Alligator mississippiensis: one gene and its partners. The protein of the gene in region 3 interacts with the protein of the main gene of each other region in a pairwise test. Links are inferred from orthologs where the notes say so. Each region holds a gene or a part of one and is shown on either strand. Other genes may lie near its edges. The genes, in order: HNRNPUL1, UBQLN4, PRPF40A and CCNL1.

What was found.
Region 1: the proteins of PRPF40A (region 3) and HNRNPUL1 interact in a two-hybrid assay, tested with the Homo sapiens proteins (2 studies listed by BioGRID and IntAct). The link is inferred for Alligator mississippiensis from reciprocal best matches to the Homo sapiens genes PRPF40A and HNRNPUL1.
Region 2: the proteins of PRPF40A (region 3) and UBQLN4 interact in a two-hybrid assay, tested with the Homo sapiens proteins (2 studies listed by BioGRID and IntAct). The link is inferred for Alligator mississippiensis from reciprocal best matches to the Homo sapiens genes PRPF40A and UBQLN4.
Region 4: the proteins of PRPF40A (region 3) and CCNL1 interact in binary tests that used the Homo sapiens proteins (3 or more experiments, as listed by UniProt). The link is inferred for Alligator mississippiensis from reciprocal best matches to the Homo sapiens genes PRPF40A and CCNL1.

The regions. Positions count from the first base shown.
Region 1 is NC_081838.1:1,511,888-1,518,882, reverse strand, and holds the start of HNRNPUL1 (heterogeneous nuclear ribonucleoprotein U-like protein 1), read right to left. Parts: upstream 3,011-6,995; 5' UTR 2,927-3,010; coding exon 2,758-2,926; intron 911-2,757; coding exon 776-910; intron 359-775; coding exon 1-358. Other genes in the region: phosphatidylinositol 4,5-bisphosphate 3-kinase catalytic subunit alpha isoform-like, read left to right, coding at 3,687-6,890.
Region 2 is NC_081838.1:17,229,240-17,237,026, forward strand, and holds the start of UBQLN4 (ubiquilin-4), read right to left. Parts: upstream 3,021-7,787; 5' UTR 2,993-3,020; coding exon 2,861-2,992; intron 2,182-2,860; coding exon 2,030-2,181; intron 1-2,029. Other genes in the region: ragulator complex protein LAMTOR2, read left to right, coding at 3,629-3,630, 4,365-4,457, 5,801-5,963, 6,657-6,746, 7,525-7,581. UniProt on the Homo sapiens protein: Regulator of protein degradation that mediates the proteasomal targeting of misfolded, mislocalized or accumulated proteins.
Region 3 is NC_081827.1:226,099,722-226,107,351, reverse strand, and holds the start of PRPF40A (pre-mRNA-processing factor 40 homolog A), read right to left. Parts: upstream 3,010-7,630; 5' UTR 2,776-3,009; coding exon 2,422-2,775; intron 878-2,421; coding exon 740-877; intron 1-739. Other genes in the region: ARL6IP6 (ADP-ribosylation factor-like protein 6-interacting protein 6), read left to right, coding at 3,419-3,716, 3,797-3,850, 5,852-5,984.
Region 4 is NC_081830.1:66,221,882-66,228,713, forward strand, and holds the start of CCNL1 (cyclin-L1), read right to left. Parts: upstream 3,014-6,832; 5' UTR 2,902-3,013; coding exon 2,617-2,901; intron 2,435-2,616; coding exon 2,360-2,434; intron 2,273-2,359; coding exon 2,163-2,272; intron 1-2,162. UniProt on the Homo sapiens protein: Involved in pre-mRNA splicing. Functions in association with cyclin-dependent kinases (CDKs). Inhibited by the CDK-specific inhibitor CDKN1A/p21. May play a role in the regulation of RNA polymerase II (pol II).

The DNA of each region.
Region 1 (6,995 bases), on a different chromosome or scaffold from region 3:
AAGGCTGGTACAGGGGTGCTGTAACTCGCTGGGGGCGCGCTGTAGCCAGGGGCAGGTGCACTGTAGTTGGCCGGTGGGGCGCTGAAGCCAGAAGGAGGGGCGCTGTAGCCAGGAGCAGGGGCGCTGAAGCCTGGTGGGGGTACGCCGTAGCCAGGAGCAGGTGCAGTGTAGCCAGCTGGGGGCACGCTGTAGGCAGGGGCAGGGGCACTGTAGCCAGAGGGGGGCATGCTGTAGCCAGAAGGGGGTGGGTTGTAACCGGGGGGTGGTATGTTGTAGCTGGGGGCTGAGGCGTTGTAGCTGGGGGGAGGCAGGTTGTAGCCGGGGGTGGGGTCTTCCTGCTTGACTTCCGACTTCATCTCTGTGCACAGAAAAACAGGCGGCGTCAGGGGGCTGGAGAGGCTGGGTGCAGCCTGACAGCGATGCCTCGACAGCCTCAGACACTCAGTGAGGTCTTTGAGGGTGACAGGGGGGTGGGGGGGGGTCTCTCCAAACTGCTGCAGGGGGGTGGGCAGGGCAAGCTCAGGGAACAAGGGCCAGGCAGGGCTGGTGCTGAGTTCAAGGGATACTGGAGAACCCAACACTCGAAAGCCCTAAGTGGAGGCTTCTCAAAGGTGCCAAGTTGGGGGCAGGGAACCATGGGGCAGCTGCCAGGCAGGACCCAGCCCACATCTCCCCATGGCCAAGGAGACTCCCAGGGGCAGGGGCCAGGCACCTGTGGGACCCCCCGCCCCACCAATTCCCGCCAACAAAGGCCCCTTGGCGGGCTGGTCCCTACCTGGGTGCAGGCCAGGATGCTCCGTCTCTGTTGGCCGCCGCTCGTAGCTGGACTCATTCTCCTGCCTGACGGCGCCATGCTCAAAGGACTGGTAGCCCTGGTGGTCGCTCTGGTGAGTGTTGCTGTCGATGTCGTCTGCGCAACAGAGACGTGGCTTAAGACGGGAACCGGTAGGGAGCTGTGGGTCCCGCTCACTGGGGCGGGGTGCGTGGAGCTGCACTGGAGGCTCCAGCACAGAGCGCGGTGCGGTTGGCAGGACAAGGGACCGGCCAGGCATCACCGAGGTCCCTGGGGGTGTTTCCGGGCAGGGAAGTTTGGGAGTGATGCTCATCAGGGCTGGGAGCCAGGGGAAACCCAGCAGAGGCAGGATCCAGCTGCCTGCCTGCTCCCCCAGCTGGTGTGGCCAAAACCCACCAGACCCAAAAAACCTGCAAGCAAAGCAAAGCATCCAGCAAGGCAGCAGTGAGGGGTGTAGGCCCCCCGATACCAGGGATCCGCCGGGAGGGAGGTGCCGGGGTGGGGGGGGCGGCGCAGAGACACAATGTCACCAAAGCAGCCAGGGGGTGATCGGCTCCCCACGGCAGGAAAAGGGGACGGAGACGCGGGACACACACCAACGCTGGCCTCGAGGGGCTGCCAGCGCACAGACCTCCCAGCACAACCAGCCCGGCTCGAGACAGGAGCAACAGCTGAGCTGTGCCGGGGAGCCCGGTCCCCAGCGCGGAGCTGCACCGGGGGGCCACATGCAGCCCCCCCGCCGGACTCTGGGCAGGCACCCGACTTTCAAGCAGAGCCGTCGGATCCATCGCCCCGGGGAACTTTCTGCCTCACGCCGCCACCTCCTCCACAAAGCCCGGAGGGCACACCCGCGAGCTGAGGCGCCCCAAAGGTGCCTGGAGACCAGCACAGGACACAAACGGGGCACCTCAGCACCCCCGGGCTCATCTCCGGAGGACCTGCCCTGGCGTTCCCCTCCCGGAGCCGCACGGCTCCGTATGGAAACGAGCCATGCAGCCGGCGAGCCCCTATTGCCAAGGCCCCTGAGGCCGGCGTGCGCTCCTCTGTGCAGGCAGGCAGCGTGTCGCGTCCCACCACTGCTGCAGCTAAGGCTGGGGGGGCCCCCAAAAAAGTCCTGGCTCCCAGGGTCTTGAGTGGGTTCAGCACTCCCACGGCACAAAACCAGCTCGGCCGGGAGGCAGCTCCGCTACGGGATGGGGGAGGCAGACAGAACGTGAGCAGGACAATCCCCACCGCATGCCCGGGCAGGTCCGCCGGGCCGGCCCTCTGCAGCAGGGTGACGGAGCAGAGCCGCGATGCCGTGGGCTGCCCCGGCTCCTGTCCCGCAGGGCAGCCTGGGGGCCCGGTGGCCAAGGCCCACAGGAAGAGAGCGCGGGTGACCCTTTTGGGGTACCTGGCCCCCACCACAGACTTGCAAGTCAGAGCTTGTTGCTGGAGGTGCAGCAGGGCGGGGGGCACAGCACAGCAGCGCTGGGGAGCTCCCCCCACCAGGGGAGATGCACCAGGAGACCAATGGTGGAGCTGCACCAGGGGGCCTGTCCCACCACGGAGATGCACCAGGGGCCAATAGTGGAGCTGCACCAGGAGACCCAGTCCTCAGCGCGGAGCTGCACCAGGGGGCCAATGACGGAGCTGCACCAGGGGGCCCAGTCCCCAGCGCGGAGCTGCACCAGGGGGCCAATGACGGAGCTACACCAGGGGGCCCGGTCCCCAGCGCGGAGCTGCACCAGGGGGCCAATGACGGAGCTGCACCAGGGGGCCCGGTCCCCAGCGCGGAGCTGCACCAGGAGGCCCGGTCCCCAGCGCGGAGCTGCACCAGGGGGCCAATGACGGAGCTGCACCAGGGGGCCCGGTCCCCAGCACGGAGCTGCACCAGGGGGCCAATGGCGGAGCTGCACCGCGGGCCCCGGTCCCACCACGGAGGTGCAGCGGGGCCAGTGGCGGAGCGGCTCTTGCCCCCTTACAGTGTCCGTCGGGCGCGGGGTCGCCGCCGCCGGGCCCGCGTCGCGCCTCCTCGGCCTCCAGCGCCGCCTGCAGCCGTTCGGCAAGCTCCGCCTTGAGGCCGCGCGTGTCCAGGCCGCGGCGGCCCAGCTCCTCCTTCAGCTCGTTGACGCGCAGCCGCCGCACGTCCATGGCCCCGGCCCCGCGGCCCGGCCTGGCCCGGCCCGTCACTCCGCGCGCCGCCCGGCCATGGAGCCCCCGCCGCGGCCCCGGCTCAAAATGGCCGCCCTCGCCCTCCTCCTCCCTCCCCGCGCCGGGCCGCCTTGCAACGCGCGCCGCCATTGGCTCCGCGCGCCGGCCCGCCATGTCACGCGGCTCGCCATTGGCTCCCGGCCGCCGCCCGCGGTTCTCCCGCTCGCTCTCGGTTTGTCACGGGGTGCCCCATTGGGCCGGGGCGGCCGCGGGGTTGTTACGGGCCCGGCGGTTGGCTGGAACCCGGGTGACGCTTGGGGGGAAGCGGCGGGGCGGGATTGACAGCGAAAGAGGCTGGCAGCGGACCAATCGCAGCAGGCGTCGCTCTTCTGCTGCGCTGGAGGGCGCGGAGGCGCCTGGGGTGGGCGGGGCCAGTGTTAGCACGCCTCCAATTGGCTGAGCTGCGGCGAGGCGCCTGGTGGGTGGGGCCAGCGTGCTAACACGCCTCCTATTGGCTGTTTGGGTGCCTCCCATTGGCCGAGCCCTGCACGAGTTAAAGTTGTTTTTTTTTTTCCTTGCCCCTTTCCCATTGGCGGAGCCCTGGCAACCAGGGCTGAGGCGGGGTGTTAGCCTGCTCCCTATTGGTGCAGCCCTGCTGACACGTTGTCAGCCGCACTCTCCTTGGCTGAGAGCCATGGGCGCCATTGTGGGCGACGAGGGCACGCGGCCCCAGTCCTGAGGTGGTTGCCAGAGGGCGGCCATGTTGCCCGTGCCCTCCTGCGGGGACTGGTGGGGCGCCCGCACGATGCCGCCCACCGTCCTCCTCGAGTGCCTCCTTCCCAACGGGATGCTGGTGCCCCTGGAGAGCCCCCGCGAGGCCTCGCTGCTGTCCGTGAAGCGCCGGCTCTTCCGCGAGGCCCGGAAATACCCGCTTCCCCACCTCCTCCGCGACGCCGCCTGCTACGTCTTCGTGGGCGTCACGCAGGACGCCGCCCGGGAAGAGTTTTTCGACGAGGCGCGGCGGCTCTGCGACCTGCGGCTCTTTCGGCCCTTTCTCCAAGTGGTCGAACCCGCCGGCGACCGGGACGAGAAGATGCTGAACCGGGAGATCGGGCTGGCCGTCGGCACGCCCGTCCGCGAGCTGGAGGCGTCGAGGGACCCGGAAGTGCGGGACTTCCGCAGGAACGTCCTGAACGTCTGCCGGGAGGCCGCCGAGCGGCGAGGGGCCGACGCGCCTCGCAGCCGGGCTTTGTACGCTTGGCCTCCCCGCGTCCACGCGTCGCCTGAGCTGCCCCGGCCCCTGTACGACAAGCTAGACGAAGGGCAAATGGTAGTGGCCGTATGGGTCGTAGCCTCCCTGAATAACAAGCAGAAATACCCCGTAAAAATCAGCCATGACTGCGTGCCCGAGCACGCGATCGCCGAAGCAGTCAGGGCGCAAACACGAAGCGCGTCGCTGTCACCTGAGCAACTGAAACGCCGCGTCTTGAAGTACCAGGATAAGTACGTTTTAAAAGTGTGCGGCTGTGATGAATACTTGCTAGAAAGGTATCCTCTCAGCCAGTATAAGCACATCAGAAACTGCATCATGGTTGGCCTCGTGCCCAACCTGATGCTGATGTCCAAAGAAAGCCTGTATGCCCGGCTGCCGTCGGATAGCTTTACCATCCCGTCTTGTCCCAGAGGTGTTTCTACGCCTACCCCGTACACGAATGCAGAAGTTTCCGCCAAATCCCTCTGGTCTATAAACAGTGGTCTCAGAATAAGAATCTTCTGTGCCACGTACGTCAATGTAAATACACGAGACGTGGACAAGATATACGTCCGAACGGGTATCTATCACGGGGGTGAACCGTTATGCGACAACGTGAAAACTCGAAGGGTGCCTTGTTGCCGTCCGAGATGGAACGAATGGCTGTCGTATGACCTGTACGTTCCTGATCTCCCCCGTGCCGCTCGCCTTTGCCTCTCCCTCTGCTCTGTCAAAGGCAGGAGGGGTGCGAAAGAGGAACATTGCCCACTGGCTTGGGGAAACGTGAACATGTTTGATTACACGCACACTCTCGTATCGGGGAAAATGGCTTTGAGTCTGTGGCCAGTGCCACATGGGCTGGAAGATCTGCTGAATCCTATTGGCATGACTGGGTCCAATCCAAGCAAGGAAACTCCGTGTCTAGAGCTGGAGTTTGATAGTTTTGGCGGCCCTGTCAAGTTTCCAGACATGACGGTGATTGAAGACCATGCCAGCAGGGCTGTCTCTCTGGAACTCGGGTGTAACTACAGCCGTATGGAGCTGACTAACAGGCTAGCTAAAGGTTTTGAAGTAAGAGAAAGCGACAAAGAACAACTCCGTGCACTTAGCGCAAGAGACCCGCTTTCCGAAATCACTGAGCAAGAGAAGGACTTTCTTTGGAGCCACAGATATAGTTGTGGAAACATCCCAGAAATTCTGCCCAAGCTGCTTTTGTCCGTGAAATGGAACTCGAGAGATGAAGTAGCCCAGATGTATTGCCTGATAAAAGACTGGCCCCTAATCAAGGCAGAACAGGCAATGGAGCTTTTGGACTGTAATTATCCTGATCCTGTGGTGCGATCGTTTGCCATTCAGTGTTTGGAGAAGTGCTTGACCGATGACCAGCTGTCTCAGTACTTAATCCAGCTGGTACAGGTTCTGAAATACGAGCAATACTTAGATAATCTGCTGGGGAGATTTTTGCTCCAGAAAGCACTGACCAATCAAACAATAGGACATTTTTTCTTTTGGCATTTAAAGTCTGAAATGCACAATACAAGTGTGAGGCAGAGATTTGGATTGCTTTTGGAGTCCTACTGTCGCGCATGCGGGATGTACCTAAAGCACCTGCGCAGGCAGGTGGAAGCCATGGAGAAACTAACTCACCTTACTGATATTCTCAAGCAGGAGAAGAAAGATGAAGCACCGAAGGCACAAATGAAGTTTCTCGTTGAACACATGAGGCGACCAGATTTCATGGAAGCTTTGCAAGATTTTATCTCTCCTCTTAACCCTGCCCTTCGGCTAGGGAACCTCAGGCTTGAGGAGTGCAGGGTTATGTCCTCTGCAAGAAGGCCTCTCTGGCTAAACTGGGACAACCCAGATATTATGGCTGAACTGTTGTTTCAGAACAATGAGATCATCTTTAAAAACGGGGATGACTTACGTCAGGACATGCTAACGCTTCAGATTATTCGAATTATGGAAAACATCTGGCAAAAGGAAGGTCTTGATCTTCGGCTGCTGCCTTATGGCTGTTTGTCTATCGGCGACCGCGTGGGCCTTATCGAGGTGGTCAGAAGCTCTTATACAATCATGCAGATTCAGTGCAAAGGAGGCCTAAAGGGCGCGCTGCAGTTCAGCAGCCACACGCTACATCAGTGGCTCAAAGACAAGAACCAAGGAGCGGCGTACGACGCAGCGATCGACTTGTTCACGTGCTCCTGCGCCGGCTATTGCGTCGCTACCTTCATACTGGGCATCGGTGACCGTCACAATAGCAACATCATGGTGAAGGATGACGGGCAGCTGTTTCACATCGATTTTGGGCACTTCCTGGATCACAAGAAGAAAAAATTTGGCTACAAGCGAGAGCGCGTGCCATTTGTCCTCACGCAAGATTTCTTACTCGTGATTAGTAAAGGAAACCAAGACTGTACCAAAACGCGGGAGTTTGAAAGGTTTCAAGAGATGTGCTATAAAGCTTACTTAGCAATTCGGCAGCAGGCCAATCTCTTCATCAATCTCTTCTCCATGATGCTCGGCTCGGGCATACCGGAATTGCAGTCTTTTGATGACATTGCTTACGTTCGAAAGACGCTCGCCTTGGACAGAACTGAGCAGGAAGCTCTGGACTATTTCACAAAACAGATGAACGATGCTCACTACGGCGGCTGGACGACAAAAATGGACTGGGTCTTCCACACGATAAAGCAACATGCCTTGAACTGAAGTGAAAGCAAAGAGGACCAAAACCAATAGCCAGCTTTTAGGGCTGCGCCGCTAACACCTGTTGGATTGGAGTCACACAAACCACGAATGACGTTAGAAGTTATA
Region 2 (7,787 bases), on a different chromosome or scaffold from region 3:
ACCGTATAAGGTCCCTTCCAGCTTGACTTTCTCATGTTCTTTTCTCTTCAACCAACAGGGCATATTATAAGTAGAAATGGGAGAGAAGCAAGGCCCTGATGCTGCAGAAACTTGCACCCAAGCTTAGTCAGATCCATGAGCAAGCTTGTTAAGGTTAAGAGGACACACCCACACTGGCAGGGTGAGAAGCCATTTGCTACCACAGCTGTTCTAGCTTTGCTAGTTTCCCTTCCTCATTTCTCTCTCTCACACAGCAATGGGAGGGAAAGGACACTTTAAAACCCAAAAGCAGTTAAAGTCCCAATCCCCAATGGGAAGGTGGGCATGAGCCCTGGAACTACCAGCAACTCATCTGAAAAAGGGGGCTACAGTGCATATCAATGCCATTATGAATGTGGAACCATCAGGTGGTTTGCAAATGATGCCCCCTTCCCATAAACTGGCCATTCAACCACAAAGAAGGGTTAATACCTTCCTTGCCCGCTCGGCAAGAGAACCTGCTGCCCCCAGTACCTGAACAGACTGCAGGGAGGTAGCTCCTTGCACTGAGCAGAAAGGAAGGCTGACTGCCTTTCTAAAAGGAGAGACAAAAACCTTATGGGAAAGCTGTGAGTGCGGGGGGAAAGCAATGAGACTGGGAAAGGAGAATCTGCAGAGGTGGCCCTTAAAGGGGTTGAAACTGCAGATGGGCAGTGTCTTGGAAAGAAATCACAGCTGGCCAGCTGCTTTGAAAGCCTTTCTCCCCTTGCAGCCTGCCGAGATCTCTCTGCCATCCACCTCCATTCGCTCAGCCTCCCCTCCAAAAGCAGCTGAAATAGAGCATGCCTAGCCAGCTGCTGTGAGATGCTTGCCCTAGGAAAAATACTTCAGAATAACTACCCAGGGAGCAGGCTTGCGGCTACCGGGAGCACAGAAATTGTTGGATGAGGATTTTTTTGCCTCCATGGAACTTTCCATGGCAATTTTTAATCCCAAGCATTTTACAAACTAATTTCGCTGCTACCACAGCAGCGGCTGCAGTCAGGGAGACTGGGGAGAAGCCAAGCAGATGGGAAATAGGAAGTTTAATAAAGAAAAAAAAAGAAGAAAGATCAGGGTCACTTGGACTCTCTCAGCACAGGAAGGAAAGGCTGCGATGCACACATGCTGGTGACCATTAGAAAGACAAAAATGAATGATGGGCCAGTTTTTAGTTTACCCCAGGAGACAGTTTGCAAGTGCTGAAGTTTATCGCGGAGACAGCGGGAAGCAGCATGGCATCAGCACGCTCCGTGCACAGGTACTGTTCTGTACAAAAGCCTCCAACAGTAGCTGACAATTCGTGTGGCTTCAGAAAAGAGGTACTGATTTTTAATAAGCCAGGGAGGAGGCGCTCCTGGTGGGGGACAACACAGCTTCAAAAGGAGCGTGAGCCTGTTTAATGACGCCCACTGCTCAGATGGAAAGACGAGTCCCAGGAATGGTGGGAAAGGGCCGTTAGGAACAAGGAGGCCTGCTTGCATCTGTAACGCGGCAACGGCACCAGGAATCATTAGACAACTATAACTTAAGAGTCACCCAGCAGCAGCTTTCCAGTATGTTGATCTACACCCCATGTCTCTGGTCTGCCTGAAAGGTTACCCCCAAAAACGTCGTTACGTGCTCTTGATAATACCCTACACTCACTGAACGCCTCTTGCTGAAAGATCTCCCAGCGCACAGGACGGCCGGACCCCGCAGCCACGGGGACCCTGGAGCGCAAGGTTTTGGCTTCACATGGCTGTGAGCAAGTGAAATAATCTCCATATCCGCCCTGTCACCCGGAGAAATCCCTGCTTTAATAGGTTCTTACACGCAACAACTAATACTCGTAAGATTTCAAAGCACGTCAACTCTGCAAAGCTTTATGAAACCCAGGAGCCCGGGAGCCAAGACCCAATTAGAGCAAAGTCCCGCAGCCCCCCGAATTTGAACTCGTACGCTTGACGGCCAGGAACTCACAAACACGCGGCGTCATTTCCTAAAACCCCGGGAAAGGACGATTTCTTACTTCTGTGGGGTCTTAATCACCAAGTGCACAGTCAGTCCATCTTTGATCCCGTGTTGGCTCAACGTGTCTCCATCCTTCAGGATCTTCCCCGCAAAGATCAGAACCAGCTGATCCTGTTTGGCTTTAAACCGCCTGGAGATTTCTTCTTTGAACTAGGGACAAAGACAAAAGGAGGCAATTCTCAGGCCGAGGCGCTTTCCAGTCTGCCCGAGAGGCTACAGGAGCGCTGGGAACAAGCCTTCGCGCGGTCCGAAGGACACCGGGCAGCATCCCCGGGGCCGAGCTGGTTTCTGAGGTGGTTCAGGGGGCGACGGTGCATCCTTCGCCCGTTCGGCTCGTGCAGGCGAGCTTTGCAAGAGCAGAGCGCAACGGCCTTAACGTGAAAAGCAGCTACGCCGAGGATTACGGGCCCCGTTTACACCGGATCATCGCCGCTGGCCGGCACCGCAGAAAGCATGCCGGAGCGAAGCAGGCGGCCCCGTTTCTGGCTCCGACTCCCACGAGGACGCTCGGGTTTTGAGCCGACGGCCTCGCGGCGCCGCGGGAGGACCATCCCGTCCGCGGGAGGCTGCCCCGGCTCGGCACGTCCGCCCGTGAAGACGCGGCTCCGAGGACAGGCCCGGCTCCGCCTCGTCCACACGCGCCCGCCTGGCCATGCGCCGCTCGCCCCCGCGCCCCCCCGGCCCGAGCCCCGCGTCCTGGCTCGGCGCCCCCGCCCCCAACCCGGCCACGGCCTGCTCGCGGGGCGACCCCCCCGCCCGGGGCAAAACCTCCCGCGCGGCCCTGGCCCTACCCCCGCCCCCGCCTCAGGGCCCCGGGCCCAGGCCGCACCTCGCGCACGGAGGCGCCGTCGCCGATGACGATCTCCTCCTTGTCCTTGGGGGTCTTCACCGTGACGCGGATCAGCGCCGCACCCGGCCCCGGCTCCGCGCCCTCCGCGCCGGGCCCGCTCGGCTCCGCCATCTTGGCCGCCCGCCCCGGCCCGGCCCGGCCCCGCCCCCCGCCCAGGAGAGCGGCCCCCGGCGGCGCGGGGGGGGGCGCGGGGAGCTCGGCGCCCCCTGGCGGCGCGGCGGGGAACTGCGGGCGAGGGGAGGTGGAGTGGAGGGGCTTGGTGGGGAGACTGAGGCTGTGCATGCCCCTTGCGGGGGGAACTGAGACACACTGTGTGTGTGCATGGGGGTATGCATGCATCTGGGTGGGGAAACTGAGGCACGCTGTGTGCAGGGGGTATGCATGCCCCTGGGGGGAGAGGCGTGCTGGATGTGGGGAAGGGTATGCATGGCCCTTGGTGACTGTCTTGAGCTCCATGAGCCCCCCTCCCCTCTCAATCCTCGCAACTCTGCTCCGTAAGTGACACAGGGGAAACTGAGGCACGGAGAAGCTGCTCTGAAAAAGGGGCTAGCTTCTGGGTAGCCAGGGGCTGATTGTCCCTAAGGGCTGCCAGCTGGAGAGCTCACACCCACCCACCGCCCCTTCCCCAGGCTCAAGGCGGTTGCAAAGGAGCTGTAAAATGCTGCAGCCAGGCCGGAGGGAAGCTGACCTGGATGTGGGGATTAATCAGAGCATTCATTTCTCTGTTTTCACATCACCAGCTCCCAAATGTAAGTAGCGGTGGGGTGCGAAGGGGGTTGATCTCATGGCTGTTTGGGAGCGTCTGTGCTGGAGATGCAGCCGTGTTGTGCCTGCCATGGGGTTAAAGCAGGATTTTGGTCTTGTTAAGATAGAAATATATATTTCAGTGTATGTGTGCCTATCTATCTATCTTGCTCCTGACCCTCAGCCCCTGCCCACCCCCAGGCCATGCTGGTGCCTCTCACTCCCAACCCGCAGCCCCCTAGCGCTGCCTCCAATTGCCCTTCGCCTGCTCCTCCCAGCCCCAAACAGCTCCTTGCTGGGAAGTGCCAAGGGGGAAAAAAAAAATGATGCTGAGTAGAGCAAAATCCCAGATATTTGTTCATATTTTTAAAAAACTGCCTGGACAGAGGACCCAAAACGAGGACGTGTCTGGGAAAACCCGGACATATGGTAACTCTAAGCAATGTTTCTGCTTTTTAAAAAGGGAAACTGAACTGAGCTGGCAGGGCTGGGGGGTGGACAGCAAGATCTTTGTGTGGGCCATGTGCCTAGCTCCTGTCCTGGAGGTTGCCTGCAGCTGCCTTGCAAGCCTGAGTTGCTGGCAGGGCCATGCAATGCCTGCGCCTGTCGCATGTGGGCCTGACTCGGCAGAAGCCAGGCCAGGACTACAGCTCCCAGGCTGCTCCGGGCGCCCAGGGGCCATCAGCTGATGGGGAAGCAGAGCTCAGAGCTGTCTGCCTTCCTCTCCTCCCTGCTGCAGGGCCAAGAGCCGTGCGGTGGTGACCATGCTGCGCCCCAAAGCCCTCACCCAGGTGCTGAGCCAGGCCAACACCGGGGGGGTCCAGAGCACCCTGTGAGTATGGGGGAGTCGGGGGGTGGCTGGATGAAAGGGGTCTCCAAAGCCTGGGGCACAGCTCAGTACCTCTGAGCCTCCTTCCTCTGTACTCTTCCTAATTCAGGATAGAAACAGGCACCACTTGGTTTCCATCCCTGCCAGGAGCCATATAATGCAGCCTAGTGTGCCGTAAAAAGCAGTAATCCAGCCTAGCCCCTAAATCCTGTCTTCTCCCTGCCCAGGGGGGCTGGGGCACTAGCTTGCAGGACTAGCTGCATTGATGTGCCTGTGCATGGTTTGCTGAAGTGCAACCAGGCTCGTTCCAGCTCTGCCCGTTCTTGCATGCATTGACGTGAGACACTGCTAAGGGCACAGGCAGACAAGTTTCTTTAGGTAAATTTGATTTATTGATTGATTTTTATTATTCAACCAGTTAAATGCTTGGAAAAAATTTGTTTTTGCAAGCTTTTGGGTATAAACACCCTTCTTCAGAAGCTCGCAAAGAACAATTTTTCCAACTATTTCGTTGGCCAAATAAAAGATAACACGTTTACCCAAAGAACCTTGTCTGCCTATGTCCTTAGACCGACACGGCTACAACCAACAGCCTTAAAGCTAAGGGCATAGGAATCTTTTCCCACCTCCCCAGTTGCACCCCAGAGCCAAAGATGCCTTGGCTTCCTTGCATTTCAAGGTTGCTGCAACAGGCAGGAAGAAAACATACCATCAGGGGCGCGGGTCCTGGAGCTGGTGAGGTTGCCTGGAGCTGGGTAGATGCCGATCTTCTTTATGGCTAAGAGCCCCAGCTGGACAAAGCCTCAGCTGGGATGATGTAGTTGGGGCTGGTCCTGCTTTCAGCAGGGACATGGACCAGATGTAACCTCCTGAGGTCCCTTCCCACCCTCTTTTTTTTTATAATGTAAACCCCAAGGCTTCTGTAGCTTTTATGTAGGATGCCTGCCTGGATTTGGGGAGCTTCTGAAGCCCCAGACCGATAGGTCCAGGAAGGAGGACACTTGCCCAGTGGTAGAGTCACGCAGACTTGACAATTGAGCTTTGCTCAGTTGAATCTTGATACTTGATTATTGGGCTTTCACGATTGAATTTGGAAAGGATTCGGCCTTGAATAATAATAATAAGACGGTGATCTTCTTTCACACATGGGGTGATGCACTTACAGCTGAAGGTATAACCTGCCTGGGTGGTATTGTGTTAAAGGGAGGGGAGGGTGCTGGTTACTTCCCTCTTGGGGTGGAGGGGTCACACTTGGGATACTTGTGACTTTGGAGAGGCTGCGTGGGACCCTGGGGGCTGTGCATATGGGGGTTCAAGTCTGTCTCCTCCCTGCATCTCCTTTCCAGGCTTCTGAACAACGAGGGCTCGCTGCTGGCATATTCTGGTTACGGAGACACAGACGCCAGGGTCACAGCTGCCATCGCCAGCAACATCTGGGTGGCCTATGACAAGAATGGGCACCAGGCTTTCAATGAAGACAATTTGAAGTTCATCCTGATGGACTGCATGGTACCTGGGTTGGGGGTGGGGGTGTCGGTGGACTCCTGGCAGGAAGGTGGGATAAACCCAGGCAGCTTGAACATGAGATCCTGGCACCCAGTGGGTGGCTTCTTCCTGCCTTGGTTTCTCCCATCTGTAAAATGGGTCTGGTATGTGCCTTGTTGTGGGGACCAGTGAGCTTTATTCAAGTGTTTTGAGATCTCCCTGATGGAAATGCTAATTGTTGGGAAGTAGAACATCAAAACAGGGGAGCACTTTGCACCTGCCACTTGGAGTAAAGGGTGTGGGTGTGTAAACATCAGCTAAAACAAGGCCCAGGCTTACAAGTGTGACCTGACTTTGGCATAGCGTAAAGGACTGCATACAGGCAGTAGCAGCATCGAGCACTCTTCATCCGTAGACCTCAAACCACTTGACAGGCCAGCCTCAGTCTTGCAGATTGAGGGGAAACTGAGGCACAGAAAGGGGAAGGGCCTGGTTGGGCTGCTTTGCAGGCCCTTCTCAAAACAGGAGTAAAATCTGAGTCGAGGGCCCTTAACCCCTCTGCCACGCTATCTTCCCAACGACTCCTTGGTATCTTGATGAGGGAGAGCAGGGCCTCGAGATGCCGCGAGCCAGACCCCTAGAAGCAGGTTTGGGGCAGAACTCTGCAAACGTGGATTCAGTGCTCTGTTCCCCTCCCCGCTTTCTCTCACCATGCAGGAGGGCCGCGTTGCCATCACCCGGGTGGCAAATCTGCTGCTGTGCATGTACGCAAAAGAGACTGTTGGATTTGGGATGCTGAAAGCCAAGGTAATGCTGAGCTCCCTGGGCAGGAGGAGGAGCTGAGAATGGCTGTGTCGCTGCACAGTGAAGAGCATGTTTAGTACAGATCTGACTTGAAGAATACAGCAATGTGACCTTTGGTGAAAGAGCATTTTATGTAGGAAATACAGAAACTAGTTCTTGCTTTAAGGTGGCCTCTGGAAGCACCTTCCAGCTCTCTAAAGGGTGTCTCCCGCGCAGGAGGAAATTAGTATTTACAAGCTTTTAAAAGCCCCTGCGTGATGCTGGAATTGGCTCTGAAGGAACATCAAAATTGTGGCCTATAGTCTGGGTTATGAGTGTTGCAGGGAGCCATAAAAATAATTTCTAGGTAGGTCGTGGCTTGTGAATTGAGAGTGGTTCTGTTGTGCTCAGCTCCACGGCCTCTGGCAAGACACCATGCCTCAGTCTCCCCTGCTTTAAAATGGGAGGGGAAGGAGGGAACATTACCATATTGATCCACATAGCATGCACTCACCTTTCCTGAATGTTGCCTATCAGGGGAGTATCTTCTACTGAACAAGTGGGTTAAAAGGACACCCCCCCCACCCCCCCCCCCCGCTTCATCCTGCTTTCCCTAAACCAAGGTACTTGTCACTTATTTGTGGGAGCTTGTGGTATGCACCTAAATACAGGCACTTTGCTCTCAGTACAGTGGCCCAGGGCAGAGAGGCTAGATTTCAGTAGAGCTAATCCAGGCTGAGAGCTGCTTCTGCTCTACTTGCTGACCCTCGTGCTCGGCTTACATCTTAATCTCTCCCAACAGGCCCAGGCGCTGGTCCAGTATTTGGAAGAGCCACTCACACAAGTGGCAGCCTCTTGAGGAGTCAGGAGGGGCAGCGTGGCGTGTGGATGGAGCTGGCGCAGTGAGAAGCCCTTTAACCAAGAACTGTAGCAGCAGTGAGCTTGTGTGGCACGGCATGTACGGCTCTGCGGGGACATCTGGGCTCAACAGCAACGGTGGCAGCTTCCAGCGTCTTGATACTGCATTAAAATAACATGAAAACTTTCAAAGGGAGTCTCTTGCTT
Region 3 (7,630 bases):
ATTCAATTTCTGCTTAGGGAGGCTTTGCTCACTAGTAGCTGCACTAGAACTAGAAAATGAGGAAGAGAATTGCCTGTTTTTAAATTCAGAAAATAATTAGCAGTCGTAAACGGCAGGAACATTCACTGTTTTAAAAAAGGAAGTTCAAAATCTCAGAAATGTTCCTTTGCTAACCAATCTGAGCAGTAATTTTTTTTTTTAAGATTTGCATTATACTAGCACAGTCAGCATATTACAAGAGCATATAATAATCCTCAAGATACAGCTAGGAAAACTCCTGCAAAGTCAGGAGAACATTAATTTTATATTTCTTCTCTCCATCCTCCTGTCATTTTCTACCATTGTTTATGAGAGTTGCTTAGCATCATGTTAAAGAAAAATCCTCCAGAAACTGAAGATTCTTATTAGAATTAAGTTCCATATTTTTCGCGATTTATAACTATATGCTGTTATATACACCTTACTTCTCTTGTGTGACTAAAGGAGAATTGTCTAAGTTATCAGCGTTATAACTGGTGGATTCGAGTGACAGATTCCAATATAGGGCTATTGTTTTTCTTTTAAAATTTGAAATCAAAAAGCAGCTTCATTATTTGTTATAGTAGAAACAGTATCTGTAGGACCCAAATGATATACAAGAAACCCGGGATTATAAGCATCATGATTTCCAAGGAATGAGAAACTTACCAGTCTAAATTATTTCTGATCATTCTGGAGAAAGTCAAATAAGCGGCCTTACCTGCCCCATTGGTGGTCCTCCCATTGGAGGCATCATCTGAGGCATCATACCATGTGGAACTGGTGGCATATTTGGTGGTCTCTGGCCCATGGGGTGCATCCCCATGGGTGGATAGTGAGGCATGCCTGGGTGACCCATCTGAAAGACAAAGTTAATAAATGAAAAATATTGATATCAAACATGAAATGCAAAAATTACAGAAATATCTCAATGGATATACAAACATTGCCTTACACGCCAGTTTAGCGTTGACTGAGGAAAATATGTAGAAAATTCACTACATCAAAGCATTTATGTATTCATGATGTACACGAATGGACTATAACTACCATAAGTTGTCAAAAATGTACAGTTAACAAACCTAGCTAAAAATTCCAAAACAATGGAAAAAAAATATATTCCCGCAACTTGCAAATTAGCATGCACAAATCCAACAAACCAAAAGGATAAAAATATTTTCACACATGGCTCTGACTGCTCAATGAAAGCATTACACATGTCATGGAACTCATTTGATAGATTATAAAATCTCTTCCTTTTTATGATTAAGTTTATAGTTAATACAACATCTTCTGCATCTATACTAGCTGCAGTCTATTTCTCGATGCATTTTCTAAAAACAACCATAACTATAGGGCTTTTTATGGACATTAAACTTTTTAGTAGAAGTGGACTGATTGAGATTTTTGGGGCTGATACAGATAGCTGATATTTAAGGAGGCGTATTGGCCGATACTGATCCAATTTCCAACAAAGCTGCCTCCAGCTGGGGGCAGGGTCAGGCACTGCCCAGGCGGGGCAGGCTCCCACAGCTGTCTGCACCCTGGGAGGGTATGTCCCCCAGATCTGCACAGGGCAGGGCAGGTTGCAGCCAGGGCTGCACAGGGCTCTTCTTGGCAAGGGCTGGGCTCAGAGTGGATGCCAGTGTTACTGGGAAGATGCTGCATCCATCCCAAATTTCACCATCGCTCCACTCCCATTGCCACCGCTGCCAGCCAGCCAGCCCGTGCAGCCCTGGCTCTTCCCAGTACGTAGGTGGAGGCAGGGCATTGAGATGGGGCTGAGCTGGGCGGCTGCAGTTTTGGGAGTAGAGCAGCAGTGAAACCTGGGATAGATGCAGCATCTTCCCAGTGCTGCCAGCACCCACTCTGAGCCCAGCTCCCGCTGAGAAGAACTCTCAGAAGTAACTTGTGCCGAACAACCTGCAATACTAAGCCAAGATCCCGGAACCCCTTCCTGGGTAACAAGTGAGGCGCGACTGGGAAAGTTTCAGCTGGCGACAAAAGAGGTGCAAACTGAACAAAAACAGAGATGATGTCAAGTAGTTTTGAACTCTTGAGCAATTCTGAGCCTGGCAGCAGGGCAGGAGTCACCCATCTGCATCCTGACACGGACAGCCAGAGAGGGAGAGGGATGAGTGCCCCCCTGTTAGGGCTGGCACCTGTTCCTGTCCTCCCCACAGGTGGGAGGGTCTGTCCCCACACTGGGAAGCCCTCCCTGGACAGCAGAGCCGAGGCCCCGGGACCAAGCACTAGGCGCCCCCGCAGCAGTCACGTGAGGTCCTTCGCCCCCGAGGGGCCCCTCAACAGCCGCCGAGAAGGACAGAGGCTGGCGTGCGCGGAACCGTCCCGCCACGGTCCCTCCCCCTCGCCCCACCCCCCCCGGCTTAACCCTTCACTCACCATGAGAGAGCGGTCTCCTCCCGGCCTCATCGAGGGGTTGAGCAGACTGCCCCCGCTGCAGCGGCCGAGCAGCCTCCCCCGGAGCTGCTGCCGCGAGGGCCCGAAGGGCATGAGGGGCTCGGGCTCCCCGCGGGGCGGGAGCAGCGGGGCCAGCAGGCTGACAGGCTTGCCCGTCGGCCAATCCGGGCGGCCGCCGAGCCGGCCGCTCTTCGGCGATTGGTCCGAGGCGGCGGAGACGGGGCGCACGGCATCCCCCGGTGTCAGCTGCATGAGGGGAGGCGGCTTCGGCAGCGAGAACGGCAGCGGCTGAGGCGAGGCCGTTGCCGCCGCCGCCGCCGAGTCCCCACCGGACATCGCGGCCCCGGCCCGGCCCGGCCCGCGGGGCCTCGGAGGGAGGGAGCGAGCGGGCCTAGGCCCCGCACCAGGAAGCGCGGGCGTGAAGCTGGGGCGCGCGGGCCGCCGACGAGACGATCAGGAAGCGGGTACCGCCGGCCTGGGCCGCTTGCCGCCGGGGGGGGGGGAGGTGGGGTAGGTCTCGCGCTGGGCTTCGGAGCTCGCGCGGGGGGAAAGCGCTGCGGCTGGGGTCGCGCGCGGGGAACGCTGGGAAGTGGTCACGTGGGCGGAGGAGGCGGGGCCGCGGGACGCACCACTCGCGCTTGAGAAGAGGGGTGGAGAAAGCGGCGCTCTGCTAACGGCTTGGCTTTGTCCCCATCCCCGGAAACCCCGTCCCCCCCCGGCCTCGCGCGCGGGTTGGTAGATGCTGAGCGCGAGCCGCGCTCTGGCTCTCTTTCCCCCCCCCCTCCCGCGAGGTGGTACGGGCCGTAACGCGCCCTCGCCCTTCCTGTTCCGGGTCAGCGCGCGCGCGCGGTTCCACCCCTTCCCCCCCGCCGCGCGCATTGGTGGGGGCCGGGCAGGGAAGTGGTGGCTCCACCCCCACTCCTTCCTGCCTCCCTTCCCGCCGCGCGCGTTTCGCGCCTTCTGTCGCGGCGTGGCCGCCATGTCGCTGTCGCTGGGCGGGCGCCGGCGGGGCCGGGTCGCGCCGTGGGGGGCGGCGCCGGCGGGGCCCGAGACGCCGTGGGCGGCGGGCGGGGCGGTGATGCGAAGCCTGTACCCCGAGCTGCAGCAGGAGGAGGCGGGGGTCGGGGTGGGGGCGGGCCGGTCCGGGGTGCCGCGCCCGGGCCACAAGCACAACGGGGCGCAGCGCTGGCCGGCGCGGGCCTGCTCCGTGCTCTGCTGCCTCGTGGCCGTCTGCATCCTCGCGCTGCTGCTGGCCCTCGCCGGCCTCGTGCTGAGGGGTGAGCGCTGCCGGCGGGGCGGGGCGGGGCGGGGCGGGGGGTGCCCGGGGCTCCGTGCTGAGCGCTGCCTGTCTCCGCAGATCTGCAGGCTGAGCAGGAGAAGAGCGAGGAGGCCGCGGAGACCCGCCTGCTGGGTACGAGCCGCGGCGCCGCAAGCTTTGCCCCGCGCCTCCTTGGAGATGGTGCTCCTTAGTTGTCCTGGGACGCGCCGGAGGGGGGGCGGGGGGACTGGCACTGCTCCGTGCAGCCTTTAAAATGGGGATCCTGGACTTGCCCTTGTTTGGCAGGAGGTAGAGTTAGAGATTCAGTTTTAGCAAGAGACGGATGATCCCCCAAACCAGCCTGTCTTGCTCCCTCCCATTAGGAGCTTTCTGAATCCTGCTGAATCATAGGTGGACGGGTGCAAGCTAAGCAAAAGAAGTCAAATTGCTTTAAATTTTTCTCAGATAACACTTCAAAGTGCGCAGCTGGCAGAGAAAAGCAATTATAACTCTTGGAAGAAACCAGGGTTCTTGTAAGGACCCGATGTTTGTTTTATCGCTGTTTTCTTGGTTATCTGCTGACTCGGTCCCTTCTCAGTATTCCCTCCGCTGAAGTTGGCTGACTTGTGGGTCCGATATTAAACATTGAAATGATTGTGGTGGCAGCTGCTGGTGATTTTGGACACCTTTTGCAGCATTCCTACCTTGGTTTAGGTACCTCCCTTTACTCTGCTTGGGGCTCGCATGCAACACACAGGAGCTCTGTGCCACTTGCCATGGGTGGTCAATCCATGCTGTAATCTGCAAGAAATCTGAAAGTCATAATGCATCATATAATCACGAATGACATCATTTTTTAAACATAATTACTTTTGAGATGTGCCCATTTTCTAAAAGGTATGATGTGTACAGGATGCACATTTTAAAGGTAGAATGAGTTTACAGATGAAATTGTATTTACATGAGAATATAAATTGGAGAAATAAGCATTTAAGTTTAAAATGTACATAGCGCCTATAATGAATTTTGACTTAATTTCTAAAACAGTTAATATAACATTTGCCTAACTGATCCAGAATTTTTTTTTTTTTGTTGTTTTTTTTGTTTTTTTAAGAAATTGAAGCAAAGATCTACTTATGATTTCAAGTGATTCCAAATCTTAAAGCAGTGAGGACGTGTAGACTTTTCCCTATCAAGTTTCATCCTTGTGACCACAATTCAACACCCTAGTGAAGCATGACTTTCAGACTTAATTTTAATTTCTTTACCAGTATTTGTTCACTTGCAATAGATACCCCAATATAGGTATTGCTCTGTTCATACAAAACTGCCTGGCTCATTTCCATTTGGGTGGTTTGCCACTTCTTAATTAGCAGTGGATTGTGGAATTAACCATTTGCTGCAGCTTTTATTTCAAAGAATGCTGCTTCTCTACACAGCTAGGGTTCATTAGTGGTCCTCTAGCGGTTTGGAAAAGCAGTGCCCTTTGAAACAAAACTCCAGCCAACAACGAGCACCTCAGTGGTTGTGCACAGCTGGACCCTTATCTTTGCTGTGGGCAAGGAACCTGATTCTACAAAGTATCTGGGTTCTACTGTGTATGTTCATAGTTTAAAAATAATTAGGGGTACACCAATAGATTTTTGGGGCCAGTACTGATAGCAGATTTTTAAGGAGGCTTATTGGCCGATACTGATCTGATTTCTGATACCCCCCCCTCCACTCGCCCCCTGGATGAGCTGATTGCGGCTCTGTCCTGTCCTTCCCTGCCCCACTCCCTCACCACGGGGGCCTTGATCTGTTCCCCGCACACATCCTTTCCCTCTCTGCTCTCCATCCACCACAACACAGCAGACTTACCAGCTGTGCACAGCTCTCCAAGCTGTCAGGCTGTGATCCTCGCTGCCTACATGCTGCACTGCAGCTGTGTGTAAGCATGAGGCATTTATTGGCCAAATCAAGCCAATTTCTGATGCAGTCAATTTTCTTTATTCACCTCTAAAAATAATACCAACACAGAACTAGATATACCATTCTCTTTCAGGAATGTGGAATCATTATGTTATATTGTGAAGCTGAGTTCTTTGAAAATCTGTTGTAATTTAGTGTTCTCATACTTATTTACATAAACTTCTCTTTTTATCCCTTGTTAAGGATTTTGGGGTCTGCTTATTCTAGCCTTGACAGCAGGGCTCTCATGCTGCAGCTTTTCTTGGACAGTGACATATTTTGATTCCTTTGAACCTGGAATGTTTCCCCCAACTCCGCTTTCACCTGCACGATTCAAGTAAGTTCTTACCAAACCATTACTGCAATGCCAGGATTAGGGTTGGATGGGCATTCTAGTTAACTACAAGACAATAATCAGGAATACTGCAAGCTTCATGCTTATGAGGTCGTGGGGTTTCATTAATATGGAGAAAATGAGAAACTGCATACAGAACTTTGCTATGTACATGTAGTCTGGTACTGGGTAAGTAGTTCACTTTCTGTGTTCATTCAGTCTTACTAGCTCTGTTGTTGAGGTTGCACATTTTGGAGATATCTGTAAGGATAACAAATATTGAGACTGAAAAATGGCCCAAGAGAGAAAATTCCTTCTAGTTTAATTTGAGTTAAATTCAAGTAATTGCTTTGGAAAGGAAAAACTCCATCAGATTTGTTGTTAGAAGAGCATTTAACAAACAGAGAGGAAAGAATAGTTATTAGGGATGCATTGATAAAGATTTTTTGGGCCAATACTGATGGCCAATTATCGATCAGCCAGTACCAATCCGATTACCAATATGCAGCCCAGCAGCATGGAAAGCAGCATCCAGCTGGTAAGTCTGTTGGGAAGGGGTGGGGTGGGGGCAGACTGCAGCCCCTGCAGTGAGGGAGGGAGTGGGGCAGGCATGCAGCTGGGGTGGGATGGGGTGTGGGACGGAGCTGTAGGTTCATCGGGTGGGGGGACAGCTCCTGCCACTGCACACCCTGGATCTGTGTGTGGGGTGAGGGCGGGCTACCTGCTACGTACTCAGAGCCAGGTTGCACCAGCCTCTTTCCAACAGCTGTACTCGGGTCAGGTGGGGCAGGCAGCAGCGGTGCTGGGAGGGGGGCCTGCAGAGGGCTATGGTGAATTTTGGGGTGGCTCTAGTCCCCTCTACCTCTAGTCCTCCTCCAAGCACCACTGCCTGCCTCACCCGGCCCAACCCAAGCGCAGCTGCTGGGATGAGGCTGGAGCAGCCCCGGCCCCAAGCCTGCAGTGGACAGCCTGCCCTCCCACCTTGCAGAGATCTGGGGGAAGGGAGGCACATGCCTCCTATGCCTCCCCTGGGGGTTCCCAGTGATGGGAGCTGCCTTCCAGATAAGTCGCTGGCTCTGTCCCATGCCTGCCCCACCCTGGCTGGGCAGCGCCTGCCCCAGCCCCACTCCCTCACCATGGAGGCCTTGATCTGCCCTCCCCTGCCCCCCCCCACCCCTTTCCCCAACAGACTTACCAGCTGCACACAGTTTTCCAAGCTGCTGGGCTCCATTCTTGGCTGTGTGCATTCCTGCTGCAGCTGCACTCATACATGTGGCATTTATTAGTAACATTATTGGCCACTTCAGCCAGAAAAAGACTATTGCTGTTAATGTCAGTTTTCCTTTTATCTGTGCCGATACAATATGAACTGATGTATCCATGCACCTCTAGTAGGTATGGTGTAAAGCTTTGTTATTCTCCTATTACATTACCCTAATAATGTGAAGATAAACATTTAATAGCTAAACCAAAAAAAAAAGCCAGTTAAGCTTGTGCTGCTGGGTCACTAAGTGAACCTTGCTAGAAACGGTCATCTGTCAGAACTACCTCAGGCTGTACTCATTTCTGTTTCCTTGTCTATTGGTTAGCCATTTTAAATTGAATATAGTAGCTGTAACGCCAAACAATTATAACTTGTTTTCTTCTCT
Region 4 (6,832 bases), on a different chromosome or scaffold from region 3:
AATATGAAACTAAAGGCAATGTGAGAATTAAGTGCAACCTGTTTTAATAAATCCTGTGTCTGTGTAAAAAAAAAAAAGACTACAACTACAACCTAAATGTTAGTGTCAAATGTTCTAAAAACCTGGACAGCAAAGAAAAAGGCTTAGAACAAGATACAGGAGTTCTTCCAAATGGTTCACCAGCGGCCAACCTGTTAGTCCCCCGATTCCAGTGACCTATTCTCAGAGCACTGGCTTCTCCTTGGGGATTTTCGATACTTCACTCACTGTTGCCATGACGACAGCTTCATCTCTATGTACCACTCCACATCACCCAGGGTTTGGTAAATGTAGCTGGTCGCTGTATAGTCGGTTGCAAGGGAAAAAAGAGTTGAAGTTAATAACATGTACAGCTTATGTAATAAGCTTGTAAAAAGTACAGAAAAATGTTTATCCTGCTTGGGTTAAAAAAAAAAAAAAAAAGCAAGTCTGAATTTCAGACTTAAGGTTTTTAAAGAACAGTTTTGTGTAGATTCACTTCTCAGAATCTAAAAGACGATACCCATTTCTCCAGAAGTGGGATAACAAATGGGTCAATAAGAGAACAAGATCCTCTTTAGACATGATGCGCGCTTGACACCATGTGGCATGCAGTGACATTCTCATCTGGAACAATCTATCTTCCAAGTGTCACATTGATACCTAAGTTTCCATTTCTTTGATCCTTTAGCAGCTTACAGAAGCAACTAATTTGCATTCTCACCATAAAGACATTATTATATGATCAATTAACTTTCATTGTTAAGCCTGAGATATTAAGGAGAACTAAAACTAATTTTAGCAGTCAAGCAGAATCTTCTATGGTAATTATGGTAAGAACATACCACCATATAACAACGTACTAGCTCAATAAACTTTGCAGAATCCTCCCAGTACAAGATTGTTCTAAAAGCTAGGTTCCATTCAAATAAGAAAAAAGAACAGTAGTCAATTTTCCTTTTAGTAAAACTGACTTGAAGAGGTAAGCGTGTGGCAGAGAAAAGTTTAAATTCAAGGCACAACTGTAGCCAGATTAAGTACTTAAATAAGTGCACCAATAAATGTAACTACTTTCCCTCAATTATTTCAATCTATTTCAAAAAGGTAAGTTTTGGAATCTCTCTCGCTCTTTGAATCCCCCCTTTACCTTGTAAGACAAGACAAAGAAAAATTCTCTTTTACAGCTAGACAGAACTTCTCAGACAAAAATTCTGATGTTTAATTAAACTATTCAAAACCAGCACTGCAAGAAAGTTTGCAACACGGCTTAAAAGCCAAATTTTAAGAAAAAGTGTTGCCTTAATCAGTTTATTAAGAGAATATCTTCTCTTCAAAAACACATTCCTTGCTCTTTTAATATCATGTTAACTGGTCTTATACACAGGAACACACATGGCTTTACAAGAAAAGCCAAAAAAAAATAAGCACTCAGCTAAAAACAGACTTAAACCTAAAACAAGCAGCATCACCCAGAACGCAAACATCATCACGTGACTACATTCCAACTTCTCTAACTTACGTAATGGCACTACACCATAAAAATACCAGTCTCCCTTCCAGTAATTAAAGGTACACTCAGCCTCCAGCCAATTAGGTACTTGACAGCAAAGATATACATTTTCAAGCTGCGTGTGCTACAGGCCAAATTACACCACCTAGTTACACACTATGATATTTTTTTGATGGGCTTGTAGTTTATCAGGCTTCAGTCTTTTAAGACCTGATATACGGTCTACTGCAGCCACATGGGGATTAAGTGCTTTAACAAGACCCTAATTCAAGAGTGACACCAGACCTGCATGAAGGATTCAGCAGGCAAGAAGAGAACGTACAACCCAGCCGGGTAACCACTACTCACATCCAGGATTTCTTTTAAGACTTACAGACCCCCAATTAGCCACAGACAGACTCTTACACTACACCCAACACTCAGGGCTCCTCCTGCAAGTATCCAGCATGTAGCTACAAGGTTTGCCTAGGCTGCTCCTGGCCGATCCCTGCAATGGCACAAATGGAAGCCAGCTTTGGGAACGTCACTGCCTACGGTCACTCCCTTCTCCGCTTCTGCGCCTCGCCTGGCAGGCTTGAAAACCTCCGCGGCTGCGGGGGAGGGGGGGGCGCACAGGAGACAGAGCGGACCTTACCTCTTGGCTCTGAGCTGGCGCAGGTAGTGGAAGACGTTGATCACATCACGGATGCGGCGCGGCGCCTCCTCGATCTTGGACGCCAGGTTGATGCAGGCCATGGCTACAATCTGCAAAGAAGCCCATTTCCGTGAGAGGCGCGGGGCCATGGGCAGAGACACCGCCCCCCCGCCCGGCCCAACCGCCCAGCTGCTTACCTCAAAGCTATGCTTGACGAAGGACTTGGAGTAGAAGAAGCGGTGGAACAGCACCTGCCCCGTCGCCATCGCCACCTGCCAACACAAGCCCCGGGGGGAGCGGGGCCGGGTCAGCCGCGGGCGGCGGGCGCGCACCCCTCCCCCCCGCCCGCAACCGCCGCCGCCATTTTGTGTCAGGCACCGGCCCGCCCGCTCCCCTCCCCCCACCCGCCGCCCGCCACAATGGCCGCCCCGGCCCAGGCCCAGGCGCCACCGACCTGCGGCAGGCGGAGCAGGATGCCGGCCGCCTGGATGAGCTCGCAGCCCAGGATGCGCAGGTCTGTCTCGCACTGCAGGTCCAGCCCGTCCTGCATGGAGGGCGTGGGCGACAGGCGCTCCTCGGGGATCAGCGAGTGGTCGATGGTGAGCGACACCTCCGAGTACAGCCGGTCGCCGATGAGGATGCCCGGGGCGGGAGCCGGCGGCGGGGCCGGGGCGAGGGCCGGGGCTGCGGGCGCGGCGGCAGCGGCGGCCGGAGGCGGCAGGGCGGCGGCGGAGGCCATGGTCGGTAGGCGCAGACGCGGGCACGATCCTCACGCGCGGCGGCCACGCAGGGAATGACCCGGCCCGGCAGGGCCCGTGACGCAGCACTCCGCGGCGCCTCCGCGCGGGGCGCGCTGGGAAAAAAGAGTCCCCCTCCCCCTGCCCTTCTGGCCTCGCGGCCTGGCTCTGCGCATGCGCATGTGGCCCCACCCGGGTGACGCAGGCGGCGCGCACAGCCCCCCCCTCTGTGCTGACTCTAGTGCTTGTGCTCGCTGCGCTGCTGGGCCGGGCTGGCTGCGCGGCCGCAGCTGCGGGCTCTGAGCCGGCTTCCCCGGGGTGGGGTGGGGCGGGGAGGATTGAATGTTCGGAGGTGCACAGGATTTCCACCCACAATCCCAGCCCAAACCTAGCTTTTTATTCAGGCCTGGGGGCTTCCAAGTTGGGAGCACGGCATGCAGAAACGAAGCCTTGGATTCTGCCCAGCCTTCTTGGGGGGAGTCCGCTTGGGCTTTGGGGTGACCCACAAAGGATTTTTGCCCATCGCGTCCAAACCCAGCTCATTCTTCAGTGCGACGTGCATGGCACACAGGCCTCGGGGGCCATCAGTGAGCAGACTGGCACTTTCCGCGCTTGGGGTTGGGCGGCACCCTGCTCTGTTACTCAGAAGTATAGACTTGTCCCCCAGTGGTGTACGGATGTGTTGAGGGTGACCTGAAAGTGACTTTGCCCCCTAATCCCAGGTCTTTTTTTTAGGGCTATGTATGTGATTATCTTACATTTTTATTAGTAAATACACATCTTTGATGAAACACTCTTTAGTTTGTGTAATTCATTATTATGATCCTTTAATTGTGTAAGAATTAGCTTTGAAAAAGGACACGGGAATAAGGAATCAACTTCAGCCTCATACTGTTCGATGGGAGTCAAAGTCCAGGACGATCAGCCACGAGACAATCAAGTTGTCTGGACTCCAGCACAAGCCCTGTTAGATGATCTCCTTGGGTCCCTTCTGTCCCTACCAGCTATGAAACTTCGGCATGAGAATTAGGCAGCCCCACAAGGGGAGCCAGACACAAAGCTGCCTCCAACCCAACCAGATTGGGTTACTCTTTAAAGTGAGGAGAGAAAACCCCCAAGTTCCCACTTGGGCTGGAAGAGAACATACAAGTACGTAAAGACCTGCTGGGTCATTGTGCAAGAAAGGGGAAGGAAATGTTTATAGCCACAACCATCTATAGTTCTGTTTGCTCTCTCTTCTGTGGAAGCAAAGGAAATTATTACATCCACAGCTGCACACAGATTGTCTGATGGCTTTCATGGTTGGGAGGGAACTCAGAGCAATAACTTGAATTTATTATGCTGCTTTTCATCACAAAACGATTTATAAACTCTACTAGGCCATTACGCTATTGAAGCAGCCGAGCTTTGGGGAAAAATGGCAGCTAACCAGGGCATTGTACTCCGTATAACAGCAAAGGAAAGAAGTTAGTTAGAGTAGACCATATTCATCTGAAGAGGTTGCATTGGTTGAAAATGATTTACTTGAACTCTTGCAAAATCCCACTGTGTAGACACTCATTTGAGTCACTTCATCTAGTTTAAACTAAAGCTGTTCCCAGTTGCCATTTGAAACTGAAAACTACTCAAAATGAAATGAGTATCCATGCAGGGGTTTGCACTGGCCTAACTTCACATTTTAGATTATAGCGCTGCAACTTATTTTAAATGGAGAGGTAGTTACTGTTTGATATACCAGTAAATATTTCATATTGGGTCCTCAAGTGAAGTTCTTTGCTCTTTGACTTTATTAATAAAGTACAAAATAGAATACATAATAATTGCTAGAATACATAAAATACATAAAGATTAGAATACAAAAAAATTTAGAATACATAAAAATTGTTTAGAAAACTTGCAATTAAAAAACACTAAAGTCATAGTATAAATTTTAACAGAAGCATGGGAACATACAACCAAAGTAAGGACTAACTCTAGTGTATGTTGATGTCAATACTTCTCACCAACAGATTTTTCTTAGAATAATTTCCTAGAATAACTGTGTCATCCAACAGTACCATGAACTCTACCATGGCCAAAGATGGAACATGAAACCCTGTGTGTAATAAGGAATTGTGTCTTTAACAGTGTCATCACCATGTAGTCAAAACATAAGGCCTTTGTATCCTGAACTTGTATTACGACCACCGAAGGAATATATTTGGGTTATGGTGGTTTGGCACAGCCTAAATTATTCCACCTTGTGTTTGTTATTTCCTTATTTTCAAATAGCGTTAGCTTGTAAAACCCCAAACTTTTACAGAAATCTGTAAAATATATTTTTATACCAGAGACTGAATTGACTGTTCTAGCCATCTTTATTTAGTTCTAGGAAACATGATAAACCAAATACACATTTAAACATCTAAATTACTGTTATTCAACTAATTAAACAAGTATTTTTGGCATAAATATTGTTTGAGAAGACTGCAATGTTCTTATAATAAATGGTCATTTTCTCCTACGTATACATAGAGCTACAACTATTTATTTTTAAGGCAAGAAAACATCAATCACGTACCAGTGTCATCTTATGACTTTTTTTTACCAAGCAACTAATGTACTTTATGTGATGGATATTGATCTAGTAGAGTGACAGTTCAATACCCCAATAGTCACCAGCAGCATTCTGGCTGGCTTGAATGCATTTTGTTTGGTGCAGCCAGTCAGATGCTAGATTACTCACAAACCAGTTAAAAATACTGCATTTTTATGATCCAATTGGCCTTTGGTCATTTTAAGTCGGATAAGGACTTCATCCAGTAATACGATTGATCGGTACAGATTCTAATTGGTATGTCAAGGCTTCTGGCAAAGGCATGAGGAGATCTGATGCACAATCCCAACATCCATGCCTCCTGTCCTGCTATATGTGCATAGCAGGAGGCATGATTGTGGGATCAGGGGTCATATCCAGACAGTGTCAAGCCATCCAGCTGACTGCCACTTCCAGCCTCAGGGGCCCATTGATTATCTCATGCCTGGATTGCCTTAAATTTAATGCACATGGGAAACAATAACGTATTTGTGTAATAGCTTTGTGGTTTATTCCTTGTTTTATCGTGCCTTAATTGTATTAACCTGTGGCTGGGTTACTACTTAAAATGTAATTAACTGGTTAATCGTGTTTTAAAGTCTACCAGGTACCTAAGTAACCATAGCAATTCAAGCGCACAACTCATTAGGGCACTGACTCTAATCTAGAATGCAAATCCTCTTTTTAACTAGTTGTATCACTTTATGGTTAATGCTTCTTTAATAACAAGGATCTGATCCTCTCCCAAGCTCCAGCAGTCTCTGACTGAATTATTATACAGTGGAAATGACTGCAATCACTTATACTGTTGACTTCCCTACTGCTCAAAGGTGGCAACTTCAGAGCTCTGCAGCCACCTGAGGAGGATCTGGAATGAACCTCACCTTTCTGGTGTAAATGTTCTTTAGGAACCCCAGGATTGCCCCAGAGCAGGGAGGATCACACTTCTTTTTAAGCAACTGTTCCAGAATCGAGAAATACATTCTCAGTAAAACATGTACGAGGGCAAGCAGTTACATCTCTGTGGGCTGCCCCAATTACTGCGCAGCCATGTATTTGCACAGCCACAGCTGGTGCTCCAGAATCACTTCTTTGGAAAAGCTTAGCGATGATCAAACTTATCCTCTTCTCCCTGCAAACGGCTTGCTCTTTTGTTTCCCCCCTGCCCTGAATTAATCCTCACGGCCTTTATTCCCGTGATAAGATTTCATAGTTATTAGGGCTGGAAGGGACCTCGCAAGATTATAGGGATACAGATTGGGTTGAAAAGCAAAAGAAGACCCTATTCTTTTCAGGACATATTTCCAGTGCCTGTCCTTAATCTCTTCAGGCCCACAACTGGGAGGATCTCTTAGCGC